Linked DNA regions of Macaca mulatta. The main gene of each other region encodes a partner of the protein of the gene in region 2 in a complex. Links are inferred from orthologs where the notes say so. Each region holds a gene or a part of one and is shown on either strand. Other genes may lie near its edges. The genes, in order: IRAK4 and IRAK2.

Region 1 (3,753 bases), on a different chromosome or scaffold from region 2:
CTGGGATTACAGGCGTTAGCCACCATGCCCAGCCTGTCTTGTGTATTATATTAATGAAATTTTTTTGTCTTAATAGGTTTTACTAGAAATAATAACTGGACTTCCAGCCGTGGATGAACACCGTGAACCTCAGTTATTGGTAATTGAAATATTCGTTTTCCTCAATCCTTTTTTCTCTGCTTTTGTAGTCTAAATTTATATGGATAAATTTGACATCTAGAAATAACATTTTCTGTTGGCAGTCTTTCCATTGGCTATTACACAATAGCATATGGAAAAAGCATTAAATATTTTTCATTCTCAGCTCTCCCATGAAGTATGTGTGAAGCCTAGAAAAGTCACTTACATATTCTTTGTTCTGATTTCTTTGTGGGTAAAATGAAAATAGAACTAAATGATTTCTGAGGTCCTCTTTAGCTTATGTTTATTTTGTTACTTTCAGGGTGGCTACTCTTAATAACAGTGTTTTCAACATTTTCAGAAAGGAAAAAAATGGCTTCCGTTCAAATTTCTCTCAGAATAAAATTGCTAGTAAAAGTTCTCTACTTATTTCTATCATGGAGTATTTTATTTACAAAGTTACAATAAAAAACATACCAAATTTGCTATTGTTAGGAAAAACTCAAATCATGTATTTCCTTTGCTCTCATACCACAGCAACAATCAACACAGAAGATTTCTGTGACCAAATGTGAGTGGGGAGGATTTCTCTCCACCAACAAGCAGGCAGTCTACTTTGCAGCGAAAGTCAGCTGCATCTCCTCCAATTTAATTCTGACACTATGTTCCTAGAGATAGCATCAGAATCAGATCCCACAGGTTAAGGGCTCAGTCCCTGAGACTGTGATCCCACCAGACACCAGTCGCAAGTTTAGGCCTCCAGAACTTCTGACCAACTGCCTTCAAGTTGGAGTTCCTATGACCTCCTCTGTGGGTATGGAGGGCTCAAGATTGAACCCAGATTGATTCACTAACTTGCATGCAGCATATACTTTACCTAAGTTTTCCATCATTTTGCCTAAGGCTTTTTCTTTCAAAATATATAAAAGCCTCAAAACTTTGGCTTGAGTAAGGATGAAATGCAGAAAAACATAAGCTCTATCTCAGTCACAAGTTTTGTGTTTCATCATATAATAGTGAAAATCACAAATCTTTGGAGAATTACACTCTTTCACCCATTCTTAAGGTTTGACTGTGATGTGACTCTAAAGTAATAAGATTTTTGTACAAGCACAGTTAAAAAAAAAATGATCCTTTGAAGAACCCTTATGTTACTAGATTCTGCCATGGCCAAACATTTTCAGAATTTATCTTTTGAAAGTGTTTTTGAAGAGTTTACCTCTCATGAATAGTTTTTTTCATCTGTATTAGTTTCCCAGGACTGTTGTAAAAATGTACCAAAAACTGTGTGACTTAAAGCAACAGAAATTTATTTGCTCGTAGTTCTGGAGGCCAGAGTCTGAAATCAAGGTATTGGCAAGACTATGCTCTCTCTGGAGGCTCCAGAGAGAATCTTGCCTTGCTCGTTGGATGTGGGGCTTACCTCCAGGATTATCTATAATCTGGAATATTCTCATCTCAGGATACTTAATTACATCTAAAAAGGCCCTTCTTTTCCTAATAAGAGGACATTTACAGATTCCAGAAATTATGGCATAGACATGTTTTGGGAGACCATGATTCACCCAACTTACTATCTTATTCCTACACTTCTCTTTCTGTTAATTCTTTTTTTTTATCATGGCCTGCTCCCCATTTTTCCCCTCCCTTTTTCTCTTTGATTCAACAATCTTAGTACCCATAGAGAAGTTTATTGGGTACAGGGAGGAGGAGTCAGGGTCCAAAAAATTGGAGTTGCGCTATTAGAAGCACATCAAGAAGCAGACCACGCTGTGCTGCCCACCTAGTAAATGCTGCTAATGGAAACATATAAGCAATTAGCTCATAACATAAATATAAAAATTGGAAGGCAGATGGGTGGAAGTATCTAGAAGGTATAAATAAATATACATTTATATTACACACACACACACACACACACACACACACACACACACACACCCCGTCATGTGTTGCCAAATGACAGGAATATGTTCCGAGAAATGCGTTGTTAGGCAGTTTCATTGTGTGAACCTCATAGAGTGTACTTACACAAACCTAGATGATGTGACCTACTACACACCTGGGCTGTATGGTATTGCTCCTAGGCTACAAACATATGCTGTACAGCATAATACTGTCCTGAATACTGTAAGCAATTGTAACACAATGGTAAGTATTTATGTATGTAAACATAAAAGAGGTACAGTAAAAATATGGTATTATAATCTTATGGGACCACCATCTATATGTGGTCTGTCATTGACCAGTTGACCAAAATGTCATTTTGTGGTGGATGGATGTACTTATTTACATAGAATTTGTCCTGTATGTCTTGTTTTTTTGTTTGTTTGTTTTGTTTTGGTTTTGGAGACAGAGTCTCGCTCTGTCACCCAGGCTGGAGTAGTGCAGTGGCGCAATTTCGGCTCACTGCAATCTCTGCCTCCTGGGTTCAGACGATTCCCCTGTGTCAGCCTCCCGAGTAGCTAAGATTACAGGTGCACACCACCACGCCTGGCTAATTTTTTGTATTTTTAGTAGAAACAGGGTTTCACCATGTTGCCCAGGCTGGGTCTTGAATTCTTAATAAGGTTTTAAGATAAGATAGTAAAATGAGAGTACATGTTATTACAAAGTAGATTAATTTAAATAATTAAAATATACATTCTAATTTCCTTCACTTTGATTTGAAGCTCGTAAAGTTTTAACACTCATTTTAAAGCTAGATATTAAAGAAGAAATTGAAGATGAAGAAAAGACGATTGAAGATTATATTGATAAAAAGATGAATGATGCTGATTCCACTTCAGTTGAAGCTATGTACTCTGTTGCTAGTCAATGTCTGCATGAAAAGAAAAATAAGAGACCAGACATTAAGAAGGTATGAATTTTGTTTATTTATTTAAAAAGTGAAAGGGGTGGGGTTCATCATATTTTCCAGAGTGTATATTTTAAAGCAAGTGTATAATGTGGTTCTTTTGTTTTTTTCTATGTCTTTTTATAAGGTTCAACAGCTGCTGCAAGAGATGACAGATTCTTAAAACTATTGGAATAGACTCTTGACTTTTTATATACACCTATCTCAACCATTTTTTTTTTTTTTAATTTGAGATGGAATCTCGCTCTGTTGCCCAGGCTGGAGTGCAGTGGCGTGATCTCGGCTCACTGCAAGCTCCACCTCCCGGGTTCACGCCATTCTCCTGCCTCAGCCTTCCAAGTAGCTGGAACTACAGGCATCCACCACCACGCCCGGCAATTTTTTTTTTTTTTTAGTAGAGACGGGGTTTCACCGTGTTAGCCAGGATGGTCTCGATCTCCTGACCTCATGATCCCCCCGCCTCGGCCTCCCAAAGTGCTGGGATTACAGGCGTGAGCCACCACGCCTGGCCTCAACCATTTTTTTAACTAATTTTTTTCCCAAATATTCTTCTTTACCTTTAACAAGGTGCAGGCTGTTGCAGGGCAGTGGTTATTAAAGCATGGGTTGAACTTCCAACATATAAAAATAGAGCCACCATATCAACACTTAGCCCTACCCATTAGTATCACACCCAGTTCTTACAGTAATCCCTGAGATATCTCCAAGCATCAAACACAGTTTGAAAATTACAGAGTTAGCAAAAAGAGCCTGGGCTGTATGTAGGGTGGAAACAC
Region 2 (3,822 bases):
AAGAAAAGAAAAGAAAATCCTTCAGCTATGGCAAGCAGGCATTGCTGTGTGAATCTCAGGAAAGGAAGGAGTCTGCATGCAGGCAGGTATCTCTTCCAGACAAATCTTGCAGCATCCATAGCATGTTTCACTCACAGGCCTTTCCTAACATTATTCATTAGTGCAGCCACTCGCACAAGGAGCACAGCCCTGTATACATGTAAGTCACCAGAAAATTGGCAAACCATGATATATGTCTTCATAAACAGGAAACCTGCTTTGAACAGGGTTTCTCAGTAGAGACAATGCCATGATGGTTAAGGGCTCTACAGTCAGGCCTGAGTTCAAATTCTGACTCTGTTCCTTACATGCTCAGGTGATCTTTAGGCAAGTAACTAAAACCTGAGCCTCAGTGTCCTCATCTGTTAAATGGGGACTAGCAGTTGTGAATATTAAAGGTGTGAATACCACACACTTAGTGTGGAATCTCTCTCCCACAGCATCTCTCGAAGCAAGTCAGAATAGGGTCACATTTATAGCCAAGAATCCCTCCAAGCCTGGAGGAAAAAGGATAAAGGTTTGAAACCACCCAGGATTAATAACAGACTGGCAGTGACCAGAAGAGGGCAGCAGAGGGCATCACTGCTGCAAGTGGGACAGGAGCCAATTGAAAAGGGACTCCTGACAGGTCCCTGCCAGGAAGGGATGGAACAAGGGGAAATGAATAAACAAAGATTTCCTGTGCCCCTTTCACAGGGCAGGCTCTGAGCCAAGTCCTTTATAGAGGTCACTGAGCACTCACCAAAAAACACTGAGCAATGCACTGTGCTGCCCACAGGAGAAGTCAAAGTTCAAAATCATTTCAGTCAACCAGAGGCAGGGCTGAGCAAAAGGGTGGCAGGAGACAGGGGGCATTCAATGAATGAATGGACGGATGGGTGGTAGATGAATGGATGGATGGGTGAATGTGTGGGTAGGTGGATAAATGGGTGGATGGATGGGTGGGTGGGTGGCTGGGAGGGTAGGAGGGAGGGTGGGTACATGGGTGGACAGGTGGGTAGGTGGATGGGTGAGTGGGTGCAAGGGTGGGTGCGTGGGTGGATGAGCGGGAGAGTGAATGGATGGATGAGGAAGTCACCTGTGACACTAACACACTGGTTAGAGGGTCAAGAGTAAACAGATATCAGAAGGAGGGTGTAAAGGTGGGAATAACAATAACCACAGTCATCATAATATTCTTGGTAGGTGCAGGGTGCAAGGTACCATGCTCACCTGCTTACATATATTATCCCATTTGTCTCCATGTATATCGTTAGCCCCATCTTACAGAAAGCATAACTGAGGCCCAGAGACAGAGGTGCTGGGTGTAGGTCACACAGCTGAAGGTAACTGAGCTGGGCCTAGGGGTTCCATCCCCCAGTTCTTTTCTTTTTTTTTTTTTTTTAGACAGAGTCTGGCTCTTTTGCCCAGCCTGGAGTACAATAGTATGATCTTGGCTCACTGCAACCTCGGCCTCCCAAAGTACTGAGATTTCAGGCGTATGCCACCACTCCCTGCCCATCCACCTGGTTCTTTTTTTTTTGTTTTTTTTTTTTTGTTTTTTGTTTTTTTTTTGAGACGGAGTCTCGCTCTGTCGCCCAGGCTGGAGTGCAGTGGCGTGATCTCGGCTCACTGCAAGCTCCGCCTCCTGGGTTTACGCCATTCTCCTGCCTCAGCCTCCCGAGTAGCTGGGCCTACAGGCGCCCGCCACCGCGCCCGGCTAATTTTTTGTATTTTTAGTAGAGACAGGGTTTCACCGTGGTCTCGATCTCCTGACCTTGTGATCCGCCCGCCTCGGCCTCCCAAAGTGCTGGGATTACAGGCGTGAGCCACCGCGCCCGGCCCCACCTGGTTCTTAAAGGAGCAGGAGCCTGGACTAGCCCTGCTGAGCTTCACTGAACAACTCGCAGTGGGGCTGAGGGAGGCAGAGGAACCTGCTGGGAGACACAGGGGTACAGAATCTGGGGTTCTTGCTGAGGGCAGAGGTGACTCAGGGCCACGGTTCTAGTGGCAGAGGTAGACAGGAGACTGTGGTCAGAGAGAGGAAGTACAGAGTTCAAGGCTAGAGAAGAAGAGAGGGTGAGGCCCACAGGGCAGCTGTATGCACTTGGCTGAAGCCAACCTGACTGTCATTCTTCTCAGCAGCATTTCCCAGACTGGGTTCCATGGAACACTGACGAGGACAGATATTCTGAGAAAACAAGGTTCCACAGTCAAATGAGCTTGGGAAACACTGCATACCCCTCTCTGGTGAATTCACAAGTCCCAGATTAAAGGCTCATTACCATCCTACCAGCTTGAATTAATCTTGTGGTAAAGAAACCTGCTTGGCTTTGCCTAATGCAATATTTCCAAGCCTGTCAAGGCATAAACCTTTTAACCCACCAATCCTAGAGATCCAAAGGAATTGGAGTTCTACAGAAATATACTCTGTAGACTGCTACACGCAGACCATGAGCTCCTGAGGGGAGGGCTGTGTTTTCGTTACATTCATATTCCTAGTGCCTGGCACAACACAATGGCAGACAAGGATGGTGGTGGTGGCAGGATGGGATGCTGGGTGGGTCAACGGTCGCTGAATGGATGGGCAGCTAAAGAGTGGATGGATGATCGGACAGCGATGAACAAATAAGGACAAATAGACAATTGGATGGACAGGTGGATGGCTGATGGGAATAGGGAAGTCAGGAGAGGATATCTGGAGCCTACTAGAACCTGGATACTCATGAGCGGTTTTCCTTCAAGGGCTGGCAAATTTCTTCTGTAACAGGCCACACAGTAAATATGTGAGATTTTGTGGGGCATGTTCAGTCTCTATCACATATTCTTTGGTTTAAAAATATAATCCTTTATAAATGTAGAACTACTCTTAGCTCACAGACCACACAAAATAGGCCACAGGCCAGAGTGGCCTGTGGGCCACGGTTTGACAGCCCCTGCTGAACTTTGATGGAACCCGTCTGTGTGCCTCTACCGTATCCTGTGATTACAAAGGAGCTGTGGGAAGGACAAATCAGGGCGGGCCCCAGTCTAAGCAGAGAAGGACGCTCTTACTATTCCACAGCTGAAGATGTCCACTCGCTTCGTCAGCTGCCCCACCCGGATGAAATCCTCTGGCAGATACGCAACTGACGCCTGGAACAGGTGAGTCTTCATCACGGTGTATTTTGACCTTTTGTTGACAGGACACAGGTGAGCCATTGGGTGAGCAAGCTTGGGGGTGAGATTTTGGTCCAGCAAGACATTAGAGCTGTGGAAACGAAAGGGGAGAGAACCTTCTCATTTTGAGCTGGATAACAACAGGTTGCCATGGAGACCCTTTGGGGAGACAATATAGTGGCAGAGCAACATCGGCTCCTGCAAGTTGAGGTCTCTAAAGACCCTCAGCATGGAGCTTCTGAGGCAGCCCTGACTGGGGAAGAGAGGACATCAGGAGCATACTCCCTCCAGCAAATGGAGATGGAGTTCAGAATTAGTCTTGCTGCCCCAGGAATGTGGCCAAAGAAGTGCAGCCTCCCTAATTCCCACAGACGCCAACCCTGATCAGCCTCAGCTTGCCAAGCCTATAGGTTGTGCAGACTCGGTCTCTTCCACAACTGTTCCAACCCCCAGCTCTGGCATGGCTGACTCAGGTCTAAGTGGCCAGCATCCTTTGTGACTAAACCTGCCCCAGATCATGTTAAAAAAAAAAAAAATCCCTCTTAGCCAGGCACAGTGGCTCATGCCTGTAATCCCAGCACTTTGGGAGGCAGAGATGGGCAGATCACCTGAGGTCAGGAGTTCAAGACCAGCCTGGCCAACATG

Evidence for each region.
Region 1: the proteins of IRAK2 (region 2) and IRAK4 are in contact, whole or in part, in a crystal structure (PDB 3MOP), measured with the Homo sapiens proteins. The link is inferred for Macaca mulatta from reciprocal best matches to the Homo sapiens genes IRAK2 and IRAK4. Residues at the interface, in NP_001561.3 of Homo sapiens: Tyr6, Ile36, Lys44, Met48, Glu59, Trp62, Trp63, Trp64, Gly65, Met66, Arg67, Gln68, Ala69, Gln73; in NP_001107654.1 of Homo sapiens: Asp24, Phe25, Pro28, Gln29, Lys34, Glu92, Phe93, Phe94, Ala95, Pro96, Ser98, Val105.

Annotation. Positions count from the first base shown.
Region 1 is NC_133416.1:50,785,331-50,789,083, forward strand, and holds the end of IRAK4 (interleukin-1 receptor-associated kinase 4), read left to right. Parts: intron 1-76; coding exon 77-139; intron 140-2,821; coding exon 2,822-2,980; intron 2,981-3,104; coding exon 3,105-3,140; 3' UTR 3,141-3,195; downstream 3,196-3,753.
Region 2 is NC_133407.1:149,069,457-149,073,278, reverse strand, and holds part of IRAK2 (interleukin-1 receptor-associated kinase-like 2), read right to left. Parts: intron 3,269-3,822; coding exon 3,073-3,268; intron 1-3,072. UniProt on the Homo sapiens protein: Binds to the IL-1 type I receptor following IL-1 engagement, triggering intracellular signaling cascades leading to transcriptional up-regulation and mRNA stabilization.